2 linked regions of the Notamacropus eugenii genome follow. The protein of the gene in region 1 interacts with the protein of each later gene in a biochemical or structural test. Links are inferred from orthologs where the notes say so. Each region holds a gene or a part of one and is shown on either strand. Other genes may lie near its edges.

The links.
Region 2: the proteins of BLNK (region 1) and CD79A form a complex in vitro, tested with the Homo sapiens proteins (2 studies listed by BioGRID). The link is inferred for Notamacropus eugenii from reciprocal best matches to the Homo sapiens genes BLNK and CD79A.

Annotation. Positions count from the first base shown.
Region 1 is NC_092872.1:212,972,660-212,989,096, reverse strand, and holds the start of BLNK (B-cell linker protein), read left to right. Parts: upstream 1-8,812; 5' UTR 8,813-9,042; coding exon 9,043-9,089; intron 9,090-16,437. UniProt on the Homo sapiens protein: Functions as a central linker protein, downstream of the B-cell receptor (BCR), bridging the SYK kinase to a multitude of signaling pathways and regulating biological outcomes of B-cell function and development.
Region 2 is NC_092876.1:25,694,963-25,711,399, forward strand, and holds CD79A (B-cell antigen receptor complex-associated protein alpha chain), read left to right. Parts: upstream 1-8,535; 5' UTR 8,536-8,597; coding exon 8,598-8,655; intron 8,656-10,024; coding exon 10,025-10,324; intron 10,325-11,415; coding exon 11,416-11,534; intron 11,535-13,339; coding exon 13,340-13,408; intron 13,409-13,550; coding exon 13,551-13,664; 3' UTR 13,665-14,115; downstream 14,116-16,437. UniProt on the Homo sapiens protein: Required in cooperation with CD79B for initiation of the signal transduction cascade activated by binding of antigen to the B-cell antigen receptor complex (BCR) which leads to internalization of the complex, trafficking to late endosomes and antigen presentation.

The sequences.
Region 1 (16,437 bases):
CATATTGGTTAGTTTGTTTAAACTGGTTTTTTCCCCTCTTTCTTTTTTATTCGTTATTCTAAGTGTATCCATTACTCTCCTGGCCCCTGGTCTCTACTTCCTGAAGATCAAATATGTTACATTTCACCTTTCCCCCAAGAAAGGAGACTTTGGGGTGCCTAGTCTCTGCCAGTAGCTCAAGACCACACCAAGTATGTTCACTCAATTTTAGGGGTCCCTTCCACCCCAGGCCCATTTAAGAGCTTAATCAAAATAATATTTACAAAAGAATATTTATTTCAAAGGTATAATAAGAAAAAAAATACCCTCCTCCATACCTGGGGGACATAATACCTCCCTTCTTATACTATCCCAGTCTCTGGGATAGGAGATTAAATTTGTATCTCAGTTCCTATATAGCATGGTCCTGCCAAGTTCCAAAGCCACTCTCTCTCCCAGGCTGGCATCCTGGCACCTTGGTTTCTTAGGATTTCTTTGTTAGGCTGGCAGCCTGGTCCAGACTCTGCCCCCTAAGCCTAAGGACAAACAAAAACAAACACCCAAACCTGATTGTCAGTGTTCAGAGCCTAAAAGGAAAAGAGGAGAGATAGCCTTTCCTCTACATCCTACTCTGTGCATGATGTCCATGCTTTGAGTGAGCAGGGCCTTCATCCCCTAGATACTACTTGAATGAAAATGAAACTGGCCCAGTCTGATGGTTTTAAAGAGGGATTCTGTTCCAGCTACAAAGCCAATGGAAAGAGGCTGCTCCCATTGGTATGATAGGGGAATTTGGGCTGTCTCTCAGAAGCAGGTCTCTGCCACCTTTGCCATGGGTGCTTCCATCTTAAGTGATCTGGGCATATGTAAAACCCAGTTAACTAAGAAAGTGGTACCTTTCTAACTGGGAGAGAGGAAATATTGGGAAATAAGAGAGATTAAAAACCAAACATATGAAGGTAAGTTTGCTTTAAGAATCATAGAATTTCAGAGCAGGAAGGGTCTCTGTCTAGTCAATCCATGCCAGAGCAGGAATCTCTTTGATGAGATCCTCAAAAGATAGATATCCAGTGTATGTATGCTTAGATTCCTCCAGTGATCAGGAATTTACTACCTCCTAACCACCTGTCCCATTTTCAGAGAGCTCTGTTGGGATCAAATACAAACAATTAAATCTCTTCATAGCCTTGTCCCTTTCTACCCTTCTATCCTTTCCACACAGTACTTCCTTCCTCACACTATGTGATTAAGCCATATTGTACAAGTAGCCCTTCTGCACATAGGATCCACATAGAGGCCTTCGAACTGGTTTTCCTCTGTTTGTCCAACATACTCTCTCCTCTTGGAGGTCCTAGGTTTCTTCAGCGCTCAGTTCAATGACTGCTTTCTACTTAGAGTCTTTCCTCATCTGCTCTCCTCCCCCACTAGCTGCTAATATACTGGTTTTCCAAACTACCTTCCATTTGTTTTCTATACATTGTGTGTGTGTGTGTGTGTGTGTGTGTGTGTGTGTATTCATGTCTCCCCATTAGACTGTAGAATCCTTGAGGGATGGGATTTTCTCACTTGCTATTGTATCCCTTCCCCCTCCAACTTAGCAGTGCTTAACATTTAATAAATGCTTTTAATTATTTGAATAGGCAATTATTAATTATATGAGCTGAAATCTGTTTCCTTGTTACTTCTAATTGTAAAGCAGAAATTGTGGTTCCTTGCCTTCTCTCCTCTAACACTTCTACCACCTTCCTTGGACACTCACTAGCTCACCCCTGGACTATTACTGTGCTGCCTGCTGATTGGTCTCCCAGTCTTAGGTCTCTCCCCATTCCAGTCCATCCTCTACTCAGCTGTCAAATTAATCTGTCTAAAGCACAGATCTGACCATGTTACTTGCCTGTTTCACAAGTACCAGCAGTTCCCTGTCACCTATAGAATCAAATATGAAACCTTCTGCTTAGAAGATTCAAAGCCTTTCACTACCAGGGAGCATCCTACTTTTCCAGACTTCTGCTCTGTCCTATGTACTCTGTGATCCAGTGATTCTGACCTCCCTCTTGTTCCTTTCACATGACCCCCCCTCTCTAGACTTTGGGCATTTCCACACGCTATTCTGCAAGCCTAGAACTCTCTCTCTCTCTCTCTCTCTCTCTCTCTCTCTCTCTCTCTCTCTCTCTCTCTCTCTCTCTCTCTCTCTCTCCCTCTCCCTCTCCCTCTCCCTCTCCCTCTCCTTTCCCCCTCCACCTCTCCTTTCCCCTTCTTCTTCTTTACCTCCTATTTCTCCTGGCTCCTTTCAAGTCCTGGATAAAATCTCATCTTCTACAGGAAGCCTTTCCTCATCCCTCTTAACACTAGTGCCCCCCTCTATTTATTACCTCAAACATATCATCTTTGTGTGTGTATGTATTCTTATTTTTTATTATCTTGTTTGCACATAATTGTTTCTGTGTGCTTTCCCCTTTCTTCTGCCTCCCTCCTCCGCATTAGAGCAAAAACTACTTGCAGGTAAGGATTGTCTTTTGTCTTTCTTTGTATCCCCAGAATTTAGCACAGTGTCTGGCATACAGCAAGTACTTCATAAATAATTATTAACTGACTGACGTTGATGCTTGATAAACTTTTTATTGCTCTTTCCTCCCAAGATGCTTAGTACGGAGAGGACTTGGGCTCTGAATGAAAGAGTATGGAATTTCTGAAAGGAGCATTTGGAAGAAGAAAAAAAAGGGACAAAAACTCATATTGCTGTGGACACATGAACTTTATCCTATCAAGTCTTTGGGAGACTGAGATTTCTTCTCTCTTTCTGCTAAGTTAGTCAATCAACAAACATTGATTAAGCACTTATTATGTGCCAAGTACTGTTCCAAGTGCTAGGGATACAAAGAAAGGCAAAAAACATTCTTGCCCTTAAGTAGCTTATAGTCTAATAGAAGATAATAAACAAACAATAATATACATACAAGATATAGATAGCTCAACAGATTGATTGATCAATTGACCAATCCATAGATAGACATATAGGCAGGATACTGAGTAGTGATAGAGCAATTCTGCCAGAGTATGAGGAGGTCTTATTAACTTTGTTGATGCCTGACTCACACCAAAAAAGAGATTCAACCACTTTGACCAAGATACTTCTACACACTTGGTCTCGGTTTCCCTCTTTTATATAATGAGGGGAGTGAATTGGATGATACCACTTCCTTTCCAAATCTAAAATTTTTTCTTGTTCTGGAGTCAGAGGGCCTGAGTTTGAATCCTACCTCATATCCTTCCTAACTCTGGGTCTTTGGGAGAATCACTTAATCTACCTAGATTTCAGTTTCCTCATCTGTTCAGTGAGGGGACTGACCTCTGAATTTGAGGTCCTTCCAATTCTTAATCTTTGTCCTATGACAAAAGTCAGACGTCTTAGAGAACCAAAAATGTATTGTCATTGAAATCAGTTTTTACCTTGTATATGCCGCAACCAGCATAGGGTCATGTGATTCTTAGATCTTCAATAAATGCTTATAGAATAGGATTATGAAAGTCCCCCTACCAGGGGTCTGTAAACATGATTGGAAGGAATTTATTTTCACTAACTACCAACTGAAATTGAGCATTTCCTTCAATTATTTAAAACATTACTCTGAGATGGAGTCCATAGACTTTACCAGACCATCCAAGAAGTTTAAAAATCCCTGTTCTAAATACTTGTCAAGTCGCTGAGAGATTTCTATTCCATCAATGAGTTACTGTAATGCACTTGGTCAATGGGGCTTTCTTTGGCTGTCGTAGTGAATTAAGGCTGATATTAACTTAGGCCACAGAATTTTAAATAACTAGAATGGATAAAGTAGGAATTACTTTACCTTTCTTCAGGTAGACTAAGTCCTTTGCTTGGATAGTATCCATCCCATATACTCCCTCATTTTAGTCATTTAAAAGCCATACCTCTTCTCTCTTCCCTTTACTAAAATGACAGTGGGTCTTCTTTTATTTTTTTTAATTGTGCCCCTTAAAACAGGAAAGTGAAAATGCTTGCTCTCTACTCCATTTCCTTCTCCTTCCCTTCTCCCTCCCCTTTTCCCTGGCAGCCTCCTCCTCTTCCTCCTGCTGCTTGCTTCTCTCCATCCAGACAGACCTTTGATCTGGTGTACACCTATTTCCAGCAGCCAGCACCAAGAGCTATCATCTTGGATGCTATAGTTAAAAAGCCTTGTAAGAGGTTCCTTCTCAGAAGATAAAAGCAAAGGGGGAATAAAGAGAAGGAGAAGAGGAGCTAGTGAAGAAGGAGGACTAGAAAATGAAGTATGGGGGCAGAGGAAGGAAAGAGGGGGAGAGAAAATGAAGGGGGAAGGAGGGAGGCAGGAGAATATAATGTGTGTGTTACACCAAATACCCCCAATTAATCGAAAGTATATCCTGAAAAGTGAGACCAAAAAAAACCCTTTTTTACATGAACTTTTCCATAAAGACTGTAATAAAGTTTGAGTATGAGGATAGGAAGGGTGGAGTAAGGCAAAGGGCAGGGAGAACCCTGGAGACACATGTTGCCTACTTCCTCATTTTCCTCAAGGCTGTGGCTGGCAAGAGTGGGAGAGGTCATGCTTCTGCTGACCTTCCAAGCAGGAAGCTCCAGATGACCCCCTCTCCTTCTGCCTCAGCCCAAACTAGCCAGACTCAGGCTCTTAAGACCCAGCTTCCAAGGACTGCGTTGAAGCAAGGCTCTTCAGGGCTCTTGACATATGGGGAGTAGAAGACAAAAAAAGAGTGAGATTGTCTTCTGGGAGCTACACCCCACCTCTATGAAGGCAGTGACACCAGTTCTGAAAATGTGTGCTCTTGTTTGGCCATAAAACTGTCTACACAGCTGGAACTGGGTCACCAAACACAGCCACAGGATGCTAGAACTGTCAGGGGACTGGGAGCTCATCTAACCCTGCCCCTTCATGTCACAGATGAGGAAACAGAGGCTCCAAGTGGTTAGTGAACTGCATGATAGCAAGTTGGTGGCAGAACTGGGATGTGAGTCTGGTTTGGGCCCTTTTCTTTCTGGCCTGGTTTATTTTAATGTGAGGTATTCCTCACACTTAGCATTCACTGCTTAACAGTGTAGACAGGCAGGGCCTTAGAAGCATACTCAGATGCAAACTGACCTCATTTCAGCTCCTCCTGGATCTCTTACTAGTTTCAAGGAACTGAACAACAGTATACAGCAGCATGGCACTGTGGGAAAATCCCCAAACATAGTTCTAGTCTTGTTTAATAGTTGTGTGACTTTGGACAAGACCCTTCATCTCCGACCTTCAGTTTCCTCTGGTATATAAAATCTGAATGATAATATTTATACTAACTACCTCTAATTGGGAGGATTACTGTAAGTTAATATATGTTTGTTTGCTTCCATATTAATATAAATGATATTTTACTACTTGTACAATTCATATTTAAAACATTTAGTAACCCATACAGTGTGAATTTATATATATGTATGTGTACACGTAAATATATGTGTATGTATATACACATATTCTTATTTGTGTCTAATGGTAGCCAGCTCTAAGGTAGGGAGAGAGAAAAAATGGGGGGAAAAATTTACTTGATAATTTTATCATATGTCTAAAAATAATAGCAAGTTACACATAATAGATTCGCAGGTTCCTATGCAGTCATCTTTTTAAATTATACTATGTTACGGAAATGCGTGTTTTATTCCATACATTAAAAATAAAATAAATATTTTAAAAAATGAATTACTATTAACTCATATACACATCAAATCTAATTTTCACATTGCTACAGATTTTGATCAAGCCATCTTTGAGGCCAAAATTATAGTTTAATTCCATGATCCGATTCACTCAATTATACATTTCCTATTTGTAGTCTGTGAAGATTATGAAGACACAGCCTCAAAGTTCATTTCTTAGATCAAAAATTCCTTGAGGGCAGGGACAAAGTGTTACTTCCTATCTTTGGGAGAGGTCTAGCACAGTGTTTTGCATATTTATAAGGTGTTTAATGAATATTGAGTTGATTTATATGCCTCATACTCTGTTCAGATGGAAACATGACCTGATTACCTGTATGTATTGAATCTACTACCTTGTGATTGCCAAGTGTATTTTCTGGTGTCTTCAGTTTTCATTTTCATGATTTGCTGATTGATCATTAAAGATGACTGCAGTGGACAATAGTCCACTGTGATGCTCATTCATGTTCTGACAAAGTCCATTCCATGCTTAACTGGAGATTTGAAAACTCAGACTTTCATTTTCATCAAGCAGGACTTATAACAGTAAAAATAAGAAAGACAAATGAAGGCAAAAAATAAAAAGCAGAAGTGTGACCTTCAACATCAGGTTTCATTCTCTGGGGAAATGAAGGCTGCCTCTACAGGTGCTCAACAGGGGACTTGGTTTAAGGAGGCTGGCTGACTCTTTCTCAAAGTGATTCAGTTGAAATTTAGCTTTCTGCCTCTCTAAATCTAGTAGTGGGGTTCAGATGAGCAAGGTCTTTCTTACCTCTTATTTCTTTAAAAATAAAGTGCATTGATATATTTTCTTTTTATGAAACTTCATTTCCAATACATCCCACGCTCCTGCCCTGCCAGAGAGTCATATCTCAAAGCAAAGAATCAAAAAGAAAGAGAGGAAGGAGGAGAAGCTATTCAGAAACATTATGCAATATAGCAACAAAGTCTGGTAGGCTGTTAATAATGCCTCTTGTCAACAACTTATTTCAAAGAGTCCAGCAAGTATTCCATTTTATGTGTTGTAGATACATCTAACCCTGTGAACCATTTCACAGATGAGGGAACAGAGGCTCCAAGTAGTTGGTGAATTGCATAGCAGCAAATTATTGGCAAAAAGTCCCTGCCCTAAAGGAACTTATCTACTTTTCTTTAACATTTTTCTGTTTTTTGCTTTTTCATTGAAAGAGCATCTTGACAAATTTTGAACACAATTTAGGACTTAGTATTCCCTCAAAACTACGTGAAAGGAATCTTTTTTTTTTTTTGGAGGAGAATGGAACAGAAGGCAAGACTGTTCAGAGATGGCTAGCTTAATAACCTTGGGTTGTCAATCATCTCTATTGCTGGTAACCTAGGTAGAAAACAGGGGATCCACCCCTCAGAAACTCTAATGTGCTCCTGAACTTCCGGTTGAACAAGAAATGAGGCAGAGTTTGGATGTGACTAAGCAAGGCTGCCCAAGTTTCCAAGTTTCCTTGAAGAGAATTAGAAACTCTTAGAGAGGGAAGCTTTCCATTCAACCTCCTCTCTGTAATTCAGTTTAATACAGTTCTCCCCTACTCATCCTTTAATCCCAGAAACAAGTCCTGAGGGAAGAAAATGAATATTAACATAACACCTTCATCACTAGGAGTGCTCTCTTTCTTAATAGTAAGTGTAAGATGTTCTTAGTTGAATGTATGCAAAGCAGATGGGGAGGAAAAAAATTTAATAAGAGATTTCCTCATCTGTAGAATGAGGGGGTTGGACCTACAGGCCTCTAAGATTTCATTTAGCACTTAATATATGATCCCAAGTCTGAAGCGCCCAAATGGAAAAAAGGATGGTTTTTCCCCCTTTCTTCTCTCCATGATTTTTTGAAGTCAAACCATCCTCCCACCTCTGGAAAAAAAATTGGGGGTAGGGACCCAAAAGACTTTTTCACTCCTTCTGAAGGAGTAAAATGAAGTGGAATTCTCAATCTCTCATCCCTCTTCACCCATCCCCTTCCACCTCCAGCCCTGATTTAGAGCCAGTGGGGATTGACTCAATCCTACTGAGATTCTGCTAGATGAGGTTCCCCATTTCTGTTTCCAGGGAAGGAAGTTAACATCACCCCAATCCCTTCCTCTCTCTTTTCAGCCCAGCCCTCAGTGGAGCAGTTAGTACAGGTGGTAGAAACTAAAATCATATGTAGGCAGAAGTGGGCCCTGACTATTATCTGTGCCCAGGTGCTTAGGGTCAGGTAGATTGGAAAAGTGCCATCCATTCATTTCTGGAGAATAGGTGCCCACCCTTGCACAGAGACATAAAAATATCCTCAGATAAAAATGCCTTTGCTTGGGGAAGCTCAATGTTTTCTTTGGGGTCTTTTAGTGGAATTTTGTCTTTGAAAAGTACAGCTAGCAGCTGGCAGTTTCAACCTACTTCCATCCAGATATAAGAGGGAAAACATAAGCATATCATTGTATTTATCTCACTGCCTGCAGCCCAGGAGGAAAACCCCTAAATTATCTTGAACACAGGGAGGGCAATTCAATTCAAAAACCTCTCAAGGGCATTTGCTCGATAAGCTACTTACATTAAAAATTCCTATCACCGCTGTCTTTTTGTGTATTGTTTTTAGAAAATTTTATTTGGTTTTCGGGAAAACCAGAGTTGTGTAAACAGACCATCTGCAATAAAGGGAGTATCGATTTATATAGATGTATTTAAAAACCCATCTAGCATAATTCCAGCTTTGCTACTTAGTTAGTACCTTGGTGAGCTCTAGCATCATTTGATTTTTCTGAACCTTAATGTCCTCACTGTAACAGGAGGGAGTGGAACCAGAGGTTCCCTCCTGCTCAAGACTTTTCTGACATTCCACCAGAAGAGCCCCTTCTGCATTCTCCTCCAAAATTTCCCGCAGCAGAGCCTCAGTGCCCAGAAGTGCTGACCAGCAAACAGACAGATCCCAGCTCTGGCTACAAATCTCAGTGTGTATGAGAGGGAGAGAGAAGGAGGGAGGGAGGGAGGAAGACAACCGGAGGAAAATTTGCATGCCCAATCAGTTTCAGAATTAAAGTTTACACCATGCCAAGTGAGTGGGCAAGGCTGATGAGATCACATGACTGTGTAGAAACATGAAACTTGCCAGTGTGCTCCAGCCAGTTTTACTTCTCCTAGAGTCGGAGCGGAGCGCTCCCGGAGGGACTCGCATTCACTGTCGGGCTAGACTCCCCGGGCTCCTCCTTGGCTCTTTTAACCAGAGGCTCTCCGCCACCCTTGCTGTTCGTGTCAAGACAGGCTAATGTTGCCCCTGGAGGGGTTTTGGTTCACCTTGTGACTGGGAAAAGGAAAGGAAAATGGAGAGGCTTAATAGGATAGCTGTGCCAGCTGGGCAGAAGCTGAGGTAAGTTTTCGCTCGTCCCGATACTAAAGTCCTGTTATCTAAAGACAGTGACAAATCCCATAGGGGAAAAAGTTTTCTATCTCTCTACCTATTTTTTTTTTACTTTTCTTTTTTGCTATTTTTCCATTTTTCTTTTTCTCTTTTCTTTCTTCCTTTTTTCTTTTATCCTGGCAGTTTTTTCTTCCTTATCTATTTTTTCTTCCTGCTCATCTTTTTCTGTTGTATCTATGCTGTTTCCTTCCTATCGTTTTTCATTCTACATGTCTATTTTCTTCCTACCTATCTTTTTAAAAAGTTTCTTTGCTGTTTTCTTCCTACCTATCTTTTTAAAAGTTTATCTACATTATTTTCTTCCTATTTTTTTTTTTATTCTACCTACCATGTTGCTTTCTTCCTACCTATCTTCTCTATTGACATTGGTTTCTTTTCATCTTTGTCCAAGTGAATCTGCTAAGTGGCCTTCAGTCCATGGCCACTTTAAAAGCAAAAGAAGACAAAGAGCACAAAGTGAAAGCTAAAGAGACTTAGGCGCTTTTTAAGAGCTGGTTTTCACGCTCTCTGATTCCAAGAAATTCTGCTAGAGGTTCACTCACTGGTTCTGGTTTGGTTTTTTTATAATGATGATTGTAATTCTGTGGCTAGATTGTGGGCTATGTTGGATGAGTCCAGATATGGATACATTCTACACATGTGTTAGGATGATAGAGATCATGTGGTCAAATGGGCCTGGCATCATGAAAATCTGGAATTAAATTCTAATTATAACACTTATCAACCTCATGACCCTGTGCAAGTCACTTATCCTCCATGTGTTTCATGCAACTCCCTAGTACTAAATCATAGATGGATTGCCTTCTTTTAATTACAGACTCTTTACATATTCATATATTTTAGGATTAGAGGTAGTTTTTCCTACATCACACCATTCTAAGTAAAATCAGGGAGGCAAAATCCTATTGTAGTGTTTGATTTTTTTTTAAAGTCCAAATATCATCAATTGATGTAGTAAAAATGGGTCTCTTGAAAGATAGAAATTTTTTCTGGACTATGGAAAAGACAATTCCAAGCTTTGGTTTTAAAAACTTTTATATAAGGATATTTTAACATCAATGCAATTCACTAATTATTGCTTACAGTTTGGCTCTAGAGAAAGGCATTTTAAAGAGGGGTGTATTCTAGCAAACTTCACATGGGTTTTTATGATGAAATTACATATTAGAAATCCTCCTCCTCCCATCTTAGGGATGCTCTGATGTACACAAGAGAAATAGTCATTACTGCTGATGATGGCAATTCAATAAAAGTAGGACTTCTCTGAAGTTCTTAGGACTATGGAGGACCTTTGTGTCTCTTAAATACTGATTCAGTAATGACAGTAATTCAGTTCAATAGTAATTACAGAAAAGCTTCTATAGGCTAACAGAATCCTAGAATAAGGGAGGGAGAAGGGAAAGGAAGAGGGAATAAACGTAAGTCTCTATAGTACCTATTCTCTCACTAAAAGGACAAGCCATAAATGAATTGATTAATTCATACAAGGGAGGATTAGATGCAAATGTGAAGGTTACAGATGGAGAATCTTGTCAGACTTCAGAGAAAGTAGACATCAATGTGAAATGGACTGAAGAAGTTTAAGAAAAACTTCCTGAAGGTGGCACTTGAGTCGCACATTAAGGAACAAGGAGGATTTAGATGGAAAAGAGGAAGGAGAGAGAATGCTGGGAAGTTGAAACAAAATGTTCAGAGGCATGGACATGAAGTATTTGCTGGACAATAAGACCTTATGACCTTTCCAGAGGGTTCAAGTTAGAGAATAGTAGGAGACAAGGTTGACTAGATGGGTAAGGATAAATTACAGAGAGTCTTGAAAAACAATGGAGAATCTAGACTTTACCCTTTATGCCAGTGGTTCCCAGGCTGTATGGCCTACAGATCATTGGGAAGCTATTAATTATCAGACCCCAATCTGTGTGCACTAAGCACTAGTATTACATCATTGTGTATATTCTTAGTCAGTGGATGCTAATAGTAATGTCGTGTGGATCCATGAAAATGTTTTAATATTAAAAAGGGGTTCTCTTACTATAAGGTTGGGCCACAGTTGCTGTATACAAAAGGGTGTCCCTGAAGGTTGTTGAACAGTGGAGAAAAGATTAACCTGGCAGCATGTGGGTTTTAGCCTGGGGGATAAATCGCTGGGTGATAACTTCTGAGAACCTAGTTGGGTGGCCAGTCATAGTCATCTAGCCGTGAGATTTTGATGTCCTGGACTAAAGTAGCAGCAGAGAGAATAAAAAGACAAGCATTGATGTGAGAGATATTTCCCAGTGAGATTAGATAAGCCCTGATAAATATAAAGAAATCATCTTTAATGATGTCTCTGAAATGAATGAGGGATTTCAAGAGCTACCTTAAGCAATCACTGGTGGGGGTTTTTTTCAGTGAATTCAGATAAGAGACTAAGTAAAAGGCGTTAAATCTCTACCATTTTGTGCCCTGCCCTCCCTTTCAAATACAAGGTCTAGCTTGATTACAGAGTGGAAAAGGGAAGATATGTTATTGTAGATTACAGGGTAGTACATGGTGTGTGTGTGTTCATCCTTCATTGCTGAAGAAGACCATGCCATCAGAGAAATGATGACATGACTTACACTTGGCGTTTGTTTTATTGGGTTTTTTTGAGTGAGGGAGGGCTGTGCAGGTCACCAGCCTCATTTCTCCTCCAGAGCCGTCTGAATCCAGTGACCAGATATTCATCAGGATGACTGGAGATGGCCCAGGATGAGGCAATATGGGTTAAGTGACTTGCCCAAGGTCACACAGCTAGTGAGTGTCAAGTGTCTGAGGTGAGATTTGAACTGTGGTCCTCCTGACTCCTGTACTGGTGCTCTATCCACTGCACCACCTAGCTGCCCCAAGTGACTTGCCCAGGATTATACAGCTAGTGAGTATCTAGGGCTGGATTTGAACTCAGGTCTTCTTGACTCCAGGCCCAGAAATCTATCCATTGTACCACTTAGCTGCCCTGTGTAGTAAATGGTAGTTCTATTGTGAATAATACATAAGCTGGATTTGACCTGAATTTTTCACTTAGGAGACCACTATAGACATTGTAGGCCTTCATAGTTAGATGATAAATGGCTAAATAGATAGATATTGTATATGATAGAAATATGGTCACTTGTGATTGAGTAAACATGCTATTGAATGTGCTTTATCTGTTCTCACATCATTCACAAATGATTTTTAAAATTTTTGCTGAATTAAGAACCCTTTGAGAGTTCATGTTCATTTGAAATGAAGGCTTGGGACATGTCTACCTATTTCCATCCATTTTATATTTCATTATGTTTATTGTATCCATTCATTTCCTCATAACTTGCCAAGTAAGGAAACAGTGCAGATAAAATGCTGAGCCTATTAAATGATATTCCTACTTTTGGAGGCCTCTGGGAGCAGCTTTGAAGAGTTAGTTTTCAATGTCATTGTGAATTAGGGAAAACTGGTGGTCTACCAATTTTATAAATAGGAAAATTAAAGCATGGTGACATTAAGAGGCTTGTCCAATCTACATAGGATCTAGTATATCACTAATTCAGGGTAAATAATGCAAGAATTTTGGGGTACAGTGACTAGTATTATTAGACCAAATTCACAAAATCTCCATGATAACTTAGTAGATCTGGTCACATAATGAAATCATCTGTTGGAAAGTGGAGGGGCATTTCCCGAACAGGGAGATGGCATTCATGACTATTCTAAGATCAGACAGAAGGAAAACCAACCTAGATAAAAATTAAATTTGTTTTTCTCCTCTCTGCATCCATCATGATTTTCTTGGCGCCATTAAGGAAGTAGAGTGGGAGAATGCCAATACTAACAGCAGGCATTTAGGATGTTTTTTTACATATGATCTCACTTCACTCTTACATCTACCTTGTAGGTAAGTGATCTAAGTGCCCCTAATTTGAAGATGAGAAAACTAAGTGAAGAGAGAGAATTATGCATAGAGGAGAAATGGCAGTGAAGGAGTGCCTCTCTTCTCCTCCATTATACTGAAGACATAATTACAGTTCTCTGCTCTCCTGCCACAGTCAGTCAGTCAATCTACATTTATTAGGTGCCTACTATGTGCCAGGCACTGGGCTAAGATCTGGGGATACACAAAAAGGCAGAAGGCTGTCTCTCCTCTCAAGTAGCCCACAGTCTAATGAAGGAGACAACATACAAATAAATAAGTACAAATATGCTATATCCAGGATAAATTGGAAATAATCAACAGAGGGAAGTATGCTAGAATTAAGGGCGGGTCAAGAAAGACTTCCCGTAGAAGGTGGCATTTTGGCTGGGACTTGAACGAAGCCAGGAGGTGGACATGAAAAGGGGGAGTACTCTAGGCATAGAGAATAGTGAGTGAAAATGCCCAGAATTGGGAGATGGAACTGTGTGCAGGGTCAAGCCCCTACTGGGCACCTGAGAACTTTCCCAGTCTCCTAGCACAGAAGAAGTTAATGAATTAAAGAAAGTATAGCAGAGAGTTCTTTCTGAGGTTGACCCTGAGATATGAGAGGAGGGACAGAACGTTTGGCAATATATGTCTCTGTCATGGAGGAAACAAAAAAAAAAACCAAAACAAACAAACAGCTTGGCTAAGCAGATAAACAAGATGAGACAATTGAAGAAACTTAATATGGTAGACATTTTATTATATTTGCTTAGATGAATGAGTCCACTATAAATTAGATAATGTAAGATATTAAATGTGTAAAAAGAGGTGTGAATGTGTGAAAAGACAAAAGAGAATTCTAGGGGGGGCTAAAAGAGAGATATGGTGAGTCCCTGGATGTAGAACCAGGAGAATTTTGGAGATTGGTTTGCCTAAATCCTTCATTTCATAGATGAGGACACAAAAGCCCAGGTAGCCAGTAGCAGAGGTATGTTTTGAAACTAGGTCTTCCAAGTCTATCCTCAGAGTCCTTGTCATACACCATATTGCCCTGGGAGAGAAAAGTATATCAGTGCAAACAGAAGGTATGGATATCCCTGAAGTGAGCATGCTAACTTCTAATTTAGCAGTGAGTATATTCCTTAAGTAATTCAGATTTGTTGAGGAAATCATTTCTGAATCTTTCTGAAAGACAGTGCCGAGAGAGAACAGTTTGTTGTTTTATTTCCAGACCCCTTTCAGACAATGAAAAGAGTCCTTTGGGCAGAGGGATGATTCTCATTTCTCAGGGCCTCATTTTCCTCATTGAAATGAGAAAAAATAGTTTCTCAAGTACCTAGCATAATTCACAGGGTTGCTATGAGGTTCAAAGGAGGTTAATTTTGGGGGTGGGGGTGAGAATTGCAACTTTAAATGTACTATATGGATTTCAATTATAATAAAATGACTACAGTAAATGAAAATGAAGCCAATAACTTTAAACATCATGTTGCATAGTTTCTCTATACATACATCTATACATAAAAATTGGCAGTTTTAAAATTTGTTATTGGTTAATAAAGAACTTATTTTTTGCTTAGGGATATGAACCATTGAGTCACTGGCATGTTTTCTCTGTGTTCATACAAGTCTCAAGTGTACCAGTATGTTTCATAAAAACTCCCCTGCTAGCACATGGTGGCAGTAAAATAAATAATCATTAGCAAAGTGCTAGCTTTTTAGAAGCCTACATAAGATCTTCTTCTAGACCTTAGCAATAGAGAGTAGTGGTGAATGCCACTCATGGTGGGTACCATCCCACGGGTACATTTAGCAGAACTGAAAAGATGGGAAGGACATAGGGGAAGAGGCACAGAATGAGAAAGGAATTGGGTCTCCCAGAAGGCTTCAGTGTGGATGAGGGGACTTTGAAGTGAAGAGAGCTTTGGAGCTTTCCTGGGCAGGTTTTGTACCATGAGTGAAACTTCTTCGTGGAAAAAATCTGGGGCCATGACATCACCTCCTAGGACACATGGTGACAGGTGCATGGGCAGATCCACGCTGATGGTTTCACCTCTCAAGGACGTATTTATCCATGGATACAAAACAAAGGTATTTATATATACTACAAAAGTCAATACACAGGCACAGAGAAGGCCTGGTTGTTGAGCCAATAGACAAGTATTTCCCTTCCAGATTAATTCAAAATGTCCAAAAAGTGTAAAACTCATATTCAGTGTGATTTATAATGAATAAATTTGGAGACTTTTGTATGAAATATGCATTATCATAGCTATGTTTAGTTAAAAACTCAAGTGAGCTGGACATTCAAGGCTCAGCTGGAATTTTCTTGATCTTTTTACTCTGTAAAAAGAAAAAGAAGTCTAATGTAGTTATTGAGAGTTACTTGAAGGAAATATACACAGATAAAGAAAAATTCGTGGAAAAGAATGTCTATATTTTTAAAAAAAATACTTTGACAAGGATCTACATCAAAGTATGACTTAAGAAGAAAAGAAAACTGAAAGTATTATGTAGGATTGGGGCAATATTTTGTCCTGGTTAGGAACTAATGAAACCTAGAAACAGGTATGTTAGGGATCAATAAGCATCGACTAAATACAACTCGTGTAATTGCCCCAGAGCCAACAGTATAGTCTAACTTCTTCCACTTTGGCAAAACTGATCCAGAAGAGAGAGTTTAATGGCCTCTAACTTTGCAGATAAGGCTCTCAGGTAATGAAAATGATTGTGCTAACAAAGGACAAACTTCAGGAAGCTACCACCAGACTGGGCCTGGAGCAGAAAATGGCGGAGAATCCTGCTCTTGGGCAAAGGCAAGGTCACGAGTTTAGAGAGAAAGTGTTTAAGGCAGGAGTCCCTGCAGATTGCTGCCTAAAGTGAAGTAATCACTCCAGGCAGCATTCCAGACTCCTTAAAGGGTAGGAATCGTTCTGTAAAATAACTTTTATTATTAAACCTCTTGTTTAAAAATTGAATGTTAAGCATCCCATTAAACTTGCTTGGTAACTATTGTCATTTAAGTTAATTTCAACCGAAAGTATGACTTCTCATTCACTTCCTCAAAACATTCCCATCAGAATTCTATTTATTCTCATTCCCTTTTCCTCTTCCATGGATGTGGAAGTTTATGTGCCCTCCATTTTTGTGATCAACAAACAGATTTTTTAGTACTTACTATGTGCAAGGCACTGTGCTAAGTGTTGGAAATTCAAATACAAGCAGAAAGAAAGAAAGAGAGAGAGAGAGAGAGAGAGAGAGAGAGAGAGAGAGAGAGAGAAAGAGAAAGAGAGATGTCCCTTCGAAGCTTACAATCTGATAGAGGAGGACAATACATAAAAAGAAACCTTAAGACTGGGGGTGGGAATCTCACAAGGGAGCAGAGGAGAGAAAGTGAGGCAC
Region 2 (16,437 bases), on another chromosome or scaffold:
ACTGAGTCAAATTTACAAGAATATAAATCATTCCCCAATGGATAAATGGTCAAAGGATATGAACAGGCAGTTTTCAGAGGAAGAAATTAAAGTTATCTATAGTGACATGAAAAAATGCTCTAAATCATTATTAGAGAGATGCAAATCAAAACAACTCTGAAGTACCACATCACACCTATCAGATTGGCTAATATGACAAAACAGGAAGATGATAAATGTGGGAGAGTTGGAACTCTGATTCATTGCTGGTGGAACCGTGAGCTGATCCAACCATTCTGAAGAGCAATTTGGAACTATGCCCAAAGGGCTATAAAAATGTGCATACCCTTTGACCTAGCAACACCACTTCTAGGGCTGTATCCCAAAGAGTTCATAAAAATGGGAAAAGGACCCATATCTATGCAAAAATATTTATAGCAACTCTTTTAGTGGTGGCCAAAAACTGGAAATTGAAGAGATGTCCATCAACTGGGGAATGGCTGAACAAATTGTGATGTATGAATGTAATGGAATACTATTGTGCTATAAGAAATGAAAAACAGGAGGACTTCAGAAAAACCTGGAAAGACTTATATGAACTGATGCTGAGTGAAATGAGCAAAACCAGGAGAACATGGTATGCAGTAACAGCTACAGTGTGTGATGACTGATTTTGATAGACTTTGCCCTTCTCAGCAATGCAAGGACCTAAAATTTTTCCAAAGGACTCTTGATGGTAAATGTCATCCACATCCAGAGAAAGAACTATGGAATTGGAATGCAGAGTGAAACAGGCTATTTTCTTCTTCTGTTTTGTTTTGTTTGTTTCTTTCTCATGGTCTCTCCCATTTGTTAAAATTCTTCTATGTAACATGACTAATGTAAAAAATATGTTTAATAGGAATATATGTGTAGAGCCATATCGTATTGCATGCTGTCTTGGGGAGGGAAAGGAGAGGGAGGAAGAGAAAATTTAAAACTTATGAAGGTGAATGTTGTAAACTAATAAATTAATAAATGTTTTTTAAAAAGAAGAAACTTACAGTTGATGTTCAGGAAGACAAACTACAGACCAGTGAACTTGGCTTCTGTTCCAAAGTTCTACTGGCATGGTATATCTTGGAAAAGAAGCAACAGAGCTCGACTGTTTTTACTCTTATTTTTTTGCCATAGTTGCTTCCCTGGTAGATCAGAGAAATGCTATCAGCAAATATGACACAAAGCATTTGACAAAGCAGCTTGTGATGTACTTGTGAATGGGATAGGGAAATGTAAATAATATAGTGTATCAAACTCAAGTAGGTAATGGGGCCACTAACCCACACATAAGGACCCCTGCAGGCCACATGTTGATTTAGTTTTAAAATGTAATGTTACATATGTTTTACTGTATTTTTACTTGTTTTGCTAACTATCTCCCAATTATATTGTAATCTGGTTTGGGGAGTCCCAGCAGTGCTCTTCTGTAATAGGGCTTGGGATGGGGGGGTGGAGGGGGTGGAGAGTGGATCCCAGGTGTTAAATCCTCTACTCAGGGGATGATCTGATCAGGTGGATTTGGAATGTGCCCAGTGACTGAATCCAAAGAATAGTCATTGTTGAGTCAACATGGAAGGAGATTTCCAGTGGAGTCCTCCAATGAATGCAGTGAGAACTTTCATTCAACCTAGTCCAATGTAATCCAATGAGAAGTACAAATTAAGAGTACCTACCCCTATTGTCTTGGAATGGTTGTAGTGTCTTCTTTACAAAGTGATTTTCAGATCAATGTTTTGTAAATCATTATAGGGGATCCTAGTCAATCACCCCTCCTCCTTCTGAAATACACAATTTTGTGTGTAAGCAAGTATAGTGTAAACACAGTTCTTCCTCAGTTTCTATCCTACCAAATCCACAGATGACACAAAGCCTGGAGGGTTAACTAACTCAAGGGACAACAAAGTCAGGATCATAAATATCCCAAGAGGTTAAAACGCTGGATTGAATTCAAAATAAAGTTCAATGTGAGGTTCTACTTTGGTGTTCCAAAAATCAACGTTCATCCTGCAAGGTGGGGAGAAGAGGACATAGACCAAAGTTCCACTAAAATAGTTCTGGAAGTTTTGGTGGATCACAAGCTCAATATGAGTCCCTAGTGTGAAGTGGCAGTCCCAGAGGTTAACTTGATGGGAGGCTGCATTTTGAGAGGCACATTATCCTCTGAGAATAGGAGGTAATGGTTCCACTGAACTCTGCCCTAGGCAGATTATATCTGGAGTGGAGAGATGAGGGAGGGGTGCCATATTTTAAAAAGAGCATTCTTGCTTGTCCTTCATTTTTGAAGAGGACCAGTGACATCACAGAGTGATGACTTGTGCGTGAATTGGATGTGAGGCAGAGTGATACAATGTCCCCATCCTCGCTGTCTCTTAAATCCAATGACAAGACAGAAGCCAAGACCATTGGCAATGACCCAGGATGCAATAGACATCCTTGGTGTCTTCCATGTTTGACCAAGTGCTCCACAGAGCCTGCTTTAGCCACCTTCATGGCTGTTGGGACATACTGTTCTCATCTAACCATTTGCCATGGGAAGTCTTCACACGCTTGGGGTAGACATCCCCCTAACTCACCAATTTCCATCAACCAGGTTTGGCCCATGTGCTAGGATAGTTTTACCGGGGTGTGGCTGCTGCCCATGATATTGCTTCTTGGAACCATGGGTGAGAGTTGAGTGAATCATGTGGACATCAAAGATGGAAAGCTGCTCTTCCTCCTGAACTCCCCATATACCCCCTAAAAGAGCATAAATTAGCTGGAGAGTATAGGAAGACAACTAGGATGGTGAATGTCACAGAGATCACGCCAAATCTAGAGGAACAAATTAGAAATGTTTAGTCTAGAGAAGACTGGGATGGAGTGGGGGTGGGGAATGAGACCTGTTGGGGGTGTAAGCTTAGTTTTCACGTGAACAATCTCAAGGGTGGGATGCTCTCCCCAGCAAGTTTCCCACTGAGAAGAGGTGGAAAAACGAGATAGCTCGTGTTTCACGCCTCAATTCCCAGCTGTTCCCTGGGGGGCCTCGTGAGAACTCTGAGGTTTAGAAGTCCTCACTTTTACCTGCCCAAGACTATTCACATGAAAACTGAGCTTACACCCCCAACAGAGACCTGACTAAGTCTGTGAAGGGCCATTATATTTGTTCATCTTGGCTCCAGAGGGCAGAACAAGGAGTCATGGGTAGAAGCTGTGGAGACAGATTTCAGTTTGATGTAAAGGGGAAAATTCCTTCTAATTAGAGTTGTCCAAAAGTGAACTGGATTGCCCCAGGACTCACAAGCTCCCTCCTGCTGGAGGTGTGCAGGTGCAGGCTGGATGATCACTTGTCAGGTAGGTTGGAGAGGGGATTCTCAGGCAGGTAAGGGTTGAACTAGTTGGCCTCTGAAGTCCCTTGGAACCCAGAGGTGAGTTTGTGATTCTGAGGCCTCCAGCCAAATCCAATTATCAGCCATTTCTTACCTCTGGGTACCCATTCTATTCTCCTGCAAGGATGAGATTTTAGGAAGCACTTCTAGGGCATTGCTCTTCTGTCCCCTCAGAGATGGGGGATTGAGAGAGAAAGAGGGAGATGAGGAGGTGTGAGGGACATGAGTAAATGAGACACACAGAGGGAGAAATGGATGATTGAGGGAGGTGTGGATTGAGAGAGCTAGAGAGAGAGAGAAGAGAAGAGACTGAAAAGAGAGGTGGAGAATTGAGAAGAAAGAAATGAGGATTAAGAGAGAGGAAAAGAGATGAGTAAACTCAATCCTCCATCTGTTCCTTTCCTTCAATCTGTCTTCCTCATTTCCTCACCTTTCCTCCCTCAGTCTTCCATCTTGTTTCCCCTTTTGCCTGTCTCTGGCCACTCACAGAGGCACCATGTCATCTGAACTTTTGCAGTAGACCTTTAACTGGCCTCTCTGCTTCTAATCTCCCTTCTCCCTCTCTCCTCTCTCTCCCTCCCTCCTGCTCTCTCCTTCCCTCTTTCCTTCTCTCTCTCTGTCTCTCCTTCTCTGTCTCTCTCCTTCCCTCCCTCCCTTCTTCCTTCCCCTACCCTCCTCCCTGCCCCTTTAAGCCAGGGACTGTCTTTTGCCCCTTTTTGTAACCCTAGCACTTAGCATACTGCCTGTCATAGTAATTATTTATTAAATGTTAATTGACTGACTGACCAGCCAATGAGATTGTCCGCAACACACATCCAATTGTCTTCATCACTTGCTCAAAAACCTTTCAAAGGTTCCCTGTTTCCTTGAGGAGAAAACTCAGATCTCTCAGCCTGGCATTTAAAATCTGCCACAACCTGGCTTCAGCCTGCCTTCCCACAATGATGGCGTCCTACTGTTTTCCATGAATTCTGTACTCTAGTCAAACCTCCAATACAGGGGGTTCTCTGCGCTGGATATTCTGCCTCTCACCTCTGTGGATTCATATTAGCTTTTTTCCATTCCTGGGACATACTCAATTCATTTCAGCAAACATTGAGTTCTAGCACCATGCTAGAAGCTCAACAGACTGACTTCAGGGAGCTTACATTCTCCTGAGGAAGATTCAAAATATACACTGATATTTGCATACCAAGTAATGCAAAGTAAATTCAAGAAGGCGAGAGTGCTAACAATGGGGGAGGGGATCAGAAAAAGCCTCTTAGAGCAGGTAGCACCTGAGCTGGACTTTGAGAGGGCTAAGGATTCTAAGAGCTGGAGGTGAGGAGGGAGGGCATTCCAGGCAGGGGCTACCACCTAAGCAAAGTCATTGATGTAAGAGATGGAAACAGCCCAGTGCAACTGGATAGAGAGGTGAAATATGAAATGAGACTGGAAAACTAGGGAGGAATCATAATGTGGAAGGCTCAGAATGCCTAGCTGAAAGGTTTCTATTTTATCCTAGAAGTCATTTAATATTTTTGGGAGGGTAGGTGACATGGTCCCATCTTCCTCTTTGCAATGTCAGTTTGGCAGCTTTGAGGAGGATGGATTGAGAAGGGAGTGGACACAGAAGCACCAATTAGGGGGTAATTGCAAGGGTCTAAAAAGTTACAAGGGGCTGAAGAGAGCCAATTATTAAATTTTCAGTGTGGTATTTATACCTTGGATATTGGCAAAAGGAAGGAAGGAAGGAAGGAAGGAAGGAAGGAAGGAAGGAAGGAAGGAAGGAAGGAAGGAAGGAAGGAAGGAAGGAAGGAAGGAAGGAAGGAAGGAAGGAAGGAAGGAAGAAGAGAGGGAAGGAGGAAGGAAAAGAAAGGAAAGGAAAAGAAAAAAGAAAATGTCTATAAGTCAGGGCTTGGTTTACTATTTTGTTGATTTCTAGACTTAAAGCAATGGAGGAAAATGTTAATAATGCATATTAGACTTAAAAGGGTATCTTATGGAGAACCACAAACTTGGTGGTTAAATATTTACTAGCACACTTCTGTGTGAGAAGGAGCTGGATAGAAGAGTTGTTAAGACTTGGCAGCTGACTAGATAAGGAACAGAATGTAAAATGAAGAACTGATCATGACTCCAAATTGGGAACCCAAATCTAGCGCCTTCCAGAGAAATAGGCTGGTTTGGGGATGTTGAGTCGGAGACGCCTACAGAACATCCAGGTTGAGACGTCCAGGAGACAGTTGATGATATGGGATTAGATTTCTAAATATGGAAGGAATCAGCATAGAAATAGTTCTATCTGTGGGAATTGAAGAGATTGCCAAATGAGAATGTGGAGAAAAGCGAAGAGAGCCCAGGATGGAGCCTTGAAGGATGCTGACACTTAGTGAGAGAAGGATGATGAGGAGACTGAGAAAGCTCATCCAGACAAGAGAGAGCGATGTCATGGAAACCAAGAAAGATGAGTGCCCAGGAGGAGAAGGATGGACATCCGTAACCTGCGTTTCAAAGAAGTCAGAATGAGGACTAACCAAAGGCCATTGGTGTCAGGTAATGAAGACCATTTGTAATCTGGGAGAGGACTTTTCCCATTGAATAGTGGGGATAGAAATCAGATTGCTTGGGATTGAGAAGTGGGAAGTGAGGAAATGGATGAAGTGAGTGGAAATGACCCTTTCTAGAGTTAAGTAGAGAAAAGATAGAGGAGGATAACTTTAGGGGCTGACTGGGTTAAGGGAAGCGGTTTTCTTTCTTTTGATTCTGAATTTAAACATTGGATAAAATCAATCAATGAGTCCCTACTATGTGCTGGCATTTGTGCTAAACTCTGGGAATACAATAAGAGGCAGAAGATAGTCACTGTCCTCAGGGAACTCACAACCTAGTGGAGGAGACAATAAACGGTGAATAAACATATACTAACAAACTACACACAGAATAAATAGGAAATAATTAACGGAGGGAAGATTCAAGAATGAATAGAGATTGGGGAAAGTCTTCCCGTAGATGATAGGATTGTAATTGGGACTTAAAGGAAGCTAGGGAAGTCAGTAGGCAGAGCAGAGGAAGGAGAGCATTCTGGGTCTGGGGGGGAAAGGAGGGACATCCGAAAAGAATGAGAGTATACAGTGAGCGTTGAAGGATTGCCGTGTAGTAGGGAGGACCCAGTTGATATTGGAGAACATAACATAGTAGCCAACTCAGGCTGCATAACAGCGGCGACTCCCTCCAGGGTCAATCTGAGAGGCAACAGTATATCATGTAGGACTGGGAGTTCAATCTTGACATCAGCTGGGTAAGCTAAGGCAAGTTTCTGAACCTCAGTTTCCCCATCTGTAAAATGAACCAGAGAAGGAAATGGTCAATCCCTCCAGTATCTCTGCCAAGAAGACCCCAAATGGGGTCAGGAAGAGTGGGAACACAATTGTGAGTGTGTGTTCATCCTTAGTTGCCAAAGAAGACCATGCCATCAGAGAAGTGATGACATGACTTGCACTTGACTTTGTTTTGTGTGAGGGTGGCTATACAGGTCACCAGCCTCACTTCTCCTCCAGAGCCATCTGAATCCAGTGACTGGATATTTATCAGGATGACTGGAGATGACCCAAGATGAGGCAATTGGGGTTAAGTGACTTGCCCAAGGTCATACAGTTAGGGAGTGTCAAGTGTCTGAGGTGAGATTTGAACTCAGGTCTGATTAAACAACTAAACAATAACATTATAGTGCCTACTATGTGTCGAATACTGTGCTAAGCACTTTATAATTGTATCATTTTATTCTTATTCTTAATTATAATAAATGCAAGGCACTTTTGGTAGGATACAGGCACTAGCAGGGGGAAGGGGGAAGTCAGGAAAGGTTTCATGTAGAAGGTGACATTCAAGCTGAGTTTTAAAGGAAACTTGGATGTTGGGGTAACCATAGATTGAGAGAGGGGAATTGGCAAGACATGAATGACCATGGCAAGGGGTAAGGGATTCATGAAGACCCAAAGGTTAAGATGGGGAAGTGAGGAAAGATATCCAGAGCAGGGGTGATGACCAAGGAGTAGAGGGAGGGATTGAGAGACTGGACATCACAGTCAGGATGGAGACTAGGTGAGGAGGGAGGGTCGGGAGGTGGAGAGACATGGGGGAGGGGGAAAGAGAGAGAGACAGAGAGAAACAGAGAGACAGAGAAAGAGAGAGATACAGAGACATGGAAGATATGCCCAGAGAGGAAATCTGGGATTCTAGATCTGGTGGCCTTGTTCAGCTTGGCCCCCAAGGGCTGAACTAGCTGCCATGGGTGGAAGTGCTAGAGACTGGTTTCATCTTGACACAGGGGGAAGTGCTCCTTATAGATGGAGCAATAGCAGTCACCCAGCTGCCTAGCTGTGGCCAAGCTTGGTCAGCAAAGGTTTCATGGCACACAACAAGGTCCTCATCCAGTTAAGTCTCTTGATTTTATAGCAAAGGAAGCAAAGACCCAGGATGGGAGATGACACCCAAGGTCACACCTGGCAGAGCCAGGATTTCTCCCTGACAATTACAATACTCTACTTTTAAAAGACTTTGTGGGCATGATAGAGCTCACTATATGAGCCCAAGCCCAAGCCTCCAAATGGAGGCTCTTCTAGCCCAGAGCACAGGGAAAGTGATGCCCAGGGTCCACAGTCTCTTAGAATCCTGTTCCTTTAATAATCAGTTCCTGTGGAAAGGGGAAAATCTATCCTGCCTAGAGGCAGGCAGCAGGCATTTGAAAGTTTATCCTCAGGGCCTGAGGGCCCTCTTCATGTGATGCATACATCCCTTACTGTCCCCCATCCTGTTCTCCCATGGGTGAGCTCCATCTGGGGGTCTCCATTGTGGGCACTGGCCTCATTAACCTCACTGCCCTTAGATTTCCCTAGCCTTCCTTGCCCCATCTTCGGGAGCCTTTTAGAATGGCATCTCCTTGAAGATAAGAACTGTCTGTTTTCATGTCCATATTGCCAGCACTCGGTCCAGAGTAAAACACTTGATAAGCCCTCTGGCTTTGCTTGCCTGAGGACCCTCCCAGCTCCAACATACTCTGTCCCAAAGGTCTACCCAGCTCTGTTCTCTGTCTCTGGCCCTGGGGGGGCTGGCATTGGGGGAGCAGTGGAGCTCATCTCCTATCCAGGTGCAGCAGGAAGCCACGCCCTGACAGGCAAAGACAGCTCTCCTTTTTCCACAGCACGATCTCAGCTAGTTGGGGACCCTTTGGGGATGATGTCCAGCCTCATTCCGCCCTTGGTCCTGCTCCTCATCTCTGTTCTGAACCCTGGTAAGTGTTTGAATCAAGGTGAAAGGGGATTAGGGGTTGGGGAAGTTCTGAGATAAAGACAGGGTTTGCGGGTGAGGTTGGCACAGGGAGCAACCAGTGACATCCCTGGGGAAGGACTGGGTGTCTAGTTATGTCCAGACGTGGGGCCTTTTGAGAGCAGGACTCATGGAATATCAAGACAGCTGTTACTTTATAGAGGGAGAAATGGAGATCTAGAGGAGGTCCAAGGTCAAACATCAAACCACAAAACCACAGAGAGACCACGAAGACCATCCCTTTCATCTTAGGGACAAGAAAACTGAGGCAAGGCACTCACCTAAGGTCCCATGTTGAGTGAGTGACAAAGGATTGGATCTCCCATCTCTTGACACCCAGCTCAGGTCTCGGCCCCTTCTACCTGGGCCTCCATTAAACCCTTCAGCAGGAACATGGAAAACAGGTTGAGTTCTGGGGATAGTAAGAAATTGAGGAGAGGGAAAGGTGGTCCAAAGGGTTTGGGGAAGCCAGAGAGAGCAATGGAACAGAGAACAAGATGCCCCTTTGATATGTCAGGCCCACATCTGCCCACGATCACCCATCTATATTTACCCAGGTCCAAATGAAGAAATGAAAGTAATCTCTCCCTCCCCATCCCCCAATCTATAGTGGGTTTGAGGAAGGAGAATTGGGGGGGGGTACCCCAACTTTTAAAATTCCTTGTCTCACTGAGATATAGTAGAAAGTACCATGTCAAATGACCTGGGAGCCTTGTGCATGCACTTAATTCATGTTTATTTAGATCTTCCTCAGTCCCCTGCCTTGTTCTTGTGGTATTGGGGAAAAACCTGGTCCTCTGGGGCCTCATTCTCTCCTCCTGTGAATCCGAGGGCCTTGGAGGGGGTTGGGCTAATAGCTGGTATGGGCCCTTCCTCCACGGGCCAATGATTTGAAGTTCCATCTGAGCAAGCCCCCTTTCCTCTCTGGGCCTGTTCTCATCATTAAACTCACAAGGGTTGGATTAAAAAGTCTCTCAACTCTGGCTCTAATTGTCTGTATACCAGCCAGGGCTGGGAGATGCCAAAGGAAAAGAAAGTCAGAGCTGGTAAGACCTTGAGAAGATGGAATGTCAGGCCTGGGAGGGCCCTTAGAACAGGGGATGTCAGGGCTGGGGGAGCCCTTTGGACATACTATAGAAGGCCAGAACAGGGAGAGCTTGAGTTCAGAAATTGAAATGAATCTCCTCTTTCCAAGTAGGAAAGTAAGAGGCAGAGAAGGAAAGAGGCTCCGAATTCTGTGAACTTTGGCTCCCAGGTTGGAGCTCACTCCACAGGCAGCAAGTTAGGAGGCTGATTCTGATTGGGCTCTTCCTTCACTCTGCCCCTGCCCCTAGGCTTCCTCACCTGGGGTCTGAGAGTGGAGCCTGGCCAGCCCTCCGTGACTGTGCCTGTGGGGGGCACGGCCCTGCTGCACTGCGAACACGATGGGAGCTCCGATGCCAACGTGACTTGGTGGCGAGTCAACATGGATAGCTTCACATGGCCCAGGAAAAAGGTGGAGAAATTCATTCATCCCAATGGGACACTGGTCATCTTGGCAGCAAACAAGAGCGACGGAGGCATGTACCTATGTCAAGTTTCTGTCGAGAATGATCAAGCCTCAGAGTCCTGTGGCACCTACCTCAGGGTTCGTGGTGAGTTCATTCCTTCCCAGACTTCACCTCTGGGTCTCCCAGTGCACCTCCCCCACCTCCTCCAGGGGCTCATGGATTCCAGTCCCCCCAGACAGCCAGAAGTTTTGAGGAATTGATTGGTAGAAGGTGATTTGCAAGCCCCGATACTCTCTATAAGTGAGTTACTATTTTTTAACTGCCATGACCATCCTCTCCCGGATCCGTACCTCTCATGAACACAGTTGTCTTAATTCCTCAGCCTGTCCTCTCCCAAGGAAGATGAGGCCACGGCAAAAGGCTGCAGATTTCCTTCCTGACTGAGGTTTCAGAGGCAATCTCACTCTGCCACTTACCTTTCCCGGCAATTCTCAGCTTCTCCTTCTGTAAAACAGGGCCAGTGAGGTCTGTCCATCTGAATAATCTCTTGGCTCTTCATAATTCTTTCCTCACAATAACCCACTAGATGATGCAAATGGAAGACCCCTCCTCCCCCAGACTTTGGAGTCTGAGGACTCTCCTTTGAGTCCTGAATGTCCTACTTATTTCCCGAGTGACCTTGGGTAGGTCACTTGAATTCTTTGGGCCTCTCAGTTTCTTCATCTGTGATACAGAGGAATTGCACTCCATGATCTCATGGGTCTCTTAGCTCTGAATTTGTGATCCTTAGCAATGAGACTATCAGTATCCCCATTTGGTAAGTGAGGAAACTGAGGCAAACAGGGTGAAGTGACTTGCCCAGGTCACCCAACTAGTCAGTGTCTGAGGTCAGATTTGAACTCAGGAAGATGAGATTCCAGGCCCAGAGCTCTATCCACTGAGCCACCTGATAGGAGGCAGAGCCAGGACCAAGTCTGGGCCTCACTGCCACCCTTTCTCCCTCTCCTGTGAAGAAAACAATGCACAGACCCTAAAAGGTTAGGGGGAGCTGGGATACGTCTGACCCTTTAACTTCCTGCCTCCCTCCTTGCCTCACTGGCTACTGCCTTGGAAGACACAAGCAGCCGGAGCTGGCACTCGGCCTGGGCAGGTGACCCTGGGCATTTTGGTGCTGGTTGGTGCAGGTGGGGCTGTCACCCTCAGTGATCTCTCCCCTCCCATCCTCCCTCTCCTAGAGCCAATACCCAGACCCTTCTTGGACATGGGCGAAGGCACAAAAAACAGAATTATCACCGCAGAGGGAATCATCCTGCTCTTCTGTGCAGTCGTCCCTGGCACACTGCTGCTCTTTAGGGTAAGGCTGCTTTGGGGTCCCCAGGCTCTCATGGCCCTTGGGCCTAAGCCCTTCTGATGCCCTGGGCTCCCCTCCCTTCCCCTTTCCATCCAGGTCTCTCACCACTACTCTTTCTTTCCCCATGGGACCTTTGGTCATGCCCTGATGGACTCCATTCCCCCTGCCCTTCTTTGGGCCCACTGCCTAAGTGCCCCTCTGTACCCATTTCTGGGAGTTAGAAAGGTTGAATCTAGTTAGCAGAGATGAATGGGAAAAAAGGGAGGGCACAGGTCACCTTAGGATGGGTAGTGTGTGTTTGTGTGTGTGTGTGTGAGTGTGATGTGTTTGTGTATGTTTATGTGTGTGGTATGTGTGATGTATGAGTGTGTGTATGTGAGTGTGTGTGTAAGTGTGATGTGTTTGTGTATGTTTATGTGTGTGGTGTGTGTGATATATGAGTGTGTATGTGTGTGTGAGTGTGATGTGTTTATGTGTGTTTATGTGTGTGAGTGTGTGTAGTGTGTATGAGTGTGGTATGTGTGATGTATGAGTGTGTGTTTGTGTATGAGTGTGTGTGTGATGTATGAGTGTGTGTTTGTGTATGTGTGTGTGATGTGTTTGCGTGTGTTTATGTGTGTGGTATGTGTGATGTGTGTTTGTGTATGTGTGTGTAAGTGTGATGTGTGTGTAAGTGTGATGTGTTTGTGTGTGTGGATGTGTGTGGTGTGTATGAGTGTGGTGTGTGTGTGATGTGTTTGCGTGTGTTTATGTGTGTGGTATGTGTGATGTGTGTTTGTGTATGTGTGTGTAAGTGTGATGTGTGTGTGTAAGTGTGATGTGTTTGTGTGTGTGGATGTGTGTGGTGTGTATGAGTGTGGTGTGTGTGATATGTTTACATGTGTGGCATGTGTGTGGCATGTGTGATGTGTGTTTGTGTAAGAGTGATGTGTATGTGTGTGTGGTGTGTATGAGTGTGGTGTGTGATGTATGAGTGTGTGTTTGTGTATGTGTGTGTAAGTGTGATGTGTTTGCATATGTTTATGTGTGTGTGGTATGTGTGATGTGTGCTTGTGTATGTCTGGGTGTGAGTGGGTGTGGTGTGTATGAGTGTGGTGTGTGATGTATGAGTGTGTGTGTGTGGTGTGTGCTTGTGTGTGTGTGTGATTGTGATGTGGTATGAGTGTATGTATGTGTCTGAGTGTGTGTGTGTGTGTGAGTGTGTGTGTCTGTGGTATGTTTATGAGTGTGTGGTATGTGTACTGTGTGCTTGTGTGTAACTGTGATTGTGATGTAGTATATGAGTGTGTGTGTGTGTGTGTGTGTGTGTGAGAGAGAGAGAGAGAGAGAGGAAGCTTCCTGGAGGCAGAGTGTATGGGAAAGCAGCTGCTGTTTCCTGGAGACAGCATTGGATGTTCAGGCAGAGGCCCTGGCTTTAGATCCCAGATCTGATGTTTGCCTTTGGGCAGGGTACCTCTCTTGGCCCCAGCTTCTTCTTCTGGAAAAAGAGGGGGCGAGGTCCGCTGAATCCCATGGTCTCTTCCAGTTTTTAAATCCCACAGCCCTGTGACCATAGGTCTGGGCCAAGGGTGGAGAAGCTGTGGCCTTAATAAATGCCCTTAACAAATGCCCTTAATAAAAAGATTTGTTCTGGAAAACTTGGATTCAGTCAAAGGGCCGCACTTGAGGACCTAGAGAACCACATGTGGCCTCGAGGCTGCAGGTTCCCCACCTCTGATCTGGCACCTATCTACTTCTTTGGACAATCTCTCTCCCTCTCCACCTCTCTGGGCGATCTCTCCCCACTCCCACATTTTTCTCCACTTTAGAAGCGTTGGCAGAATGAGAGATATGCTGTGGATCACTTGGACTATTATGATGATGAGAACCTATATGAGGTAAGGCCCTTTTAGGGGTGGAGAGACTAGGGAGGGAGCTGGGATTAGACTCCCTTGACCCAAGGTGGAGGGAGGGTCCCAGGAGACATCTCCCACCTCCATCCACCAAGGCTAACCTGCAGCCTCCTCCACTTTCTTCTAGGGTCTTAACCTCGATGACTGCGCCATGTATGAGGACATCTCCCGGGGTCTGCAGGGGACCTACCAGGATGCCACTACCCTCAGGGTGGGAGATGTCCAGCTAGAGAAGCCATGATGGCCCTTCCTGGCCCTGCTCAAAGCAGCCTCCCTCCCTTAAACTGCCCCCTTCAGGTCTTTCTGACTGTCCCACTCTCAGTTTCCTCAGGAGTCAGTTTGACTAGATGGTATCTAAGGCCCCTCCCAGCCCTGACATCCCCTGTTCCAAGGCCCCTCCCAGCTCTGATATTCCCTGTTCCAAGATCCCTCCCAGCTCTGATATTTCATGTTCTGTTTCCACGTTTGACATGTTTTCCTCTCTCCCATGATATGCCCCCTTCTCTATCCCCCTCATGCCTTGACTCCTGATCCCTTTTAACTTTCTCCCCTATAACTCTTTCCCTATAATGCAGGAGGTGCTTGAAGCAGGATCCCTCCCCCTAAGTTTTGTTATAGCTACTAATGATAATAAATCTGTGGCCCATGGGGAAGGAAAGGGTTCCATTCTCCATTGGGCGGGATGGACTGATGGTCTGTGTGTAAAACACCATGCCATGGAGATCCAGGGGTTCTGAAACCTAGCCATCCCCACCTTAGAGGTCTGAGCACCCCCATCCTCTAGCCCTGGACATCCTCACTGCCTAGCCACCACACCCTCCTCACCCAGCAGCCCAGGTGTCTGAGCTTCACGTCTGTCTCTTTTCTTAGGACCTGAATCCTCAGTTCTTTGGAAACTCACCCAGCTGGGCAGGTCTCCAGTGTTCCTCCCCAGCTGTCACTGTCTCCCCAAGCTGGGGAGTAAACAAGCCCCATCCCCCACTCCAGCACCTGCTGCTCTACCCCTCCCTTGGAAGTGGGGGTGGGGAAGAAACAGGAAGTACCTATGGGAGGGGGCAGAAGAGGCCCTCAGAGATAGAGAAGAGATGGATCTCTGCGCTACTCAGGGACCAGAACTTCCTGATGCCCTTCAAACATGCTTAAGCAGCTCCTGTCCCACTCCACCTCACCCCATGCCTTATTTCTCTCCTAAAACCAAGATGCTCATCTCTCTGGTACCATCTCCTGTTTAGCTCTCAGTTCCCACCTCCTGTAAAATGAACTTTGGACTTAGTGATTTCTGAGGGTTCTCGGGTCTGATCTTTGGTCCCAACATCTCCAGGGCATATAGACCTCCCTGAGGCAGACCAAGTATAAGCTCACAGGTGATGAAGGATGGTGAAAGGAGGAAGTATGCAGATGGAGATGCTCCACATTCCAGAAGTTCATCTAGAGAGTGTGGGAGTATACCATATGGAGCCATAGATGACCTCCTCCCTTACCTAGCCCAGAAGAAATGGGCTTTTGTGACCAGAGTCCTGGGCAAACTGATCCCATATTCCCCTCAGCTGTAAGGGAGTCAGCTAAGGGATCACTGTCCTAGGGCATGCTCTTTACCAAGGCATCTTTTCTGGATACCAAGGATACCTTTTCTGCAATGTGGAGGGGAGGGCACTGTGTCGTTGTCCAAGGTAACACAGTCAGTATGTGTCAGAGACAGGAGATGAATCCACGTTCTCCAGACTTGGAGGGGACCTTCCCATCCACACCACTAGTGTGAGAAATCACTGAGCCGAAGATTATCTGCAGAGATGGGGAGGGATGGAAGGAGGAGGGAGACCTGACATAAGGAATGAGATAAACAGACAGAGATCCAAAGACAGAGAAAGAACAGACAAGATAGTGAGCCAGCTACCCAGAGACCAACAAAGAGAAATACAGTCACACGGGGAAATAGAGGCTGAGGCAGAGGGCCAACAGAAAGTGAGTCAGATCCCAAATCTCAGGGTCATCCTGACTCTTCCTTCTCCCTCCCGTCTGTTGCCAAGTCTTGTTAATCCTATCCGCACCCTCTTTCCTTTCACCAAACTCACACAGTTTAACTTAGGACCTCACTGTCTCTTGCCCAGATGATTTTAATTGCTTTTGAATTAGTCTGTCTATCTACGATCTCTTCTCTCACCAATCCATCCTTTGCATAGCAGTCAATTATCTAAAGAGTGGAGGTGACTGAATCAACTGCCTTGGTCAAAGAACTTTGGGGCTTCCCATTCCATCTAGGATCTGCTGAGAAGCTGAACGCTCTTCCAGATCTGGCTGCACCCTCCCTTTTCACACATTTCTCCCTTCCATGTAGTCTACCTTCAGTCAAACAGACCCTACTCATTCTTCTCATCTCCCACAATGACACATTTATACAGGCTAGCCTGAATGCCTGCCATGTCCTGTCTCTGCACTTGGGCCTCTCAGAAGTCTTCTCTTCTCTCAGGACTCTCAAGAGAAGGGTGCCGCCTCCTTTGTGGAGCCCTCCTGAACCTCTCCCTACCACGTGACTTCACCAGCTTAAATATATTTTAGAACATTTTTGTGTCTTTGTCTTTAGGTTCACTATTATTATTTGTGGGTAAATAATAATACTAGGATGTAAGTTCCTAAAGGGCAAGGAAACATCTCCTTCTGTGTCTCCTTCCTCCCTTCCTTCTTCCCTCCCTCCTTCTCTTCCTTTCTTCCTTCCCTCCCTCCTTCTCTTTTCTTTTCTTCCTTCCTTCCTTCTTTCCTTCCCTCTTTCTTTCCTTCTTTCTTTCTTTCATTCTTTCTTTTCCCAAGAGTCCAGCATAGGGCCTTACATGTAATAAGAACTTAATAAATGTTTGCTTAATTAAAATGAATTGAATATAAAAACAAAGAGACACAGAGGCCAACAGAGAGATAGAGAAGAAAAAAGAGGAGACAAGAAGAGACTAGGGTGAGAGAGAATGAAAGGGGAGGGGAGAGATAAGAGGACAGAGGAAGACAAGCAGAGAAGAGAAACAGAG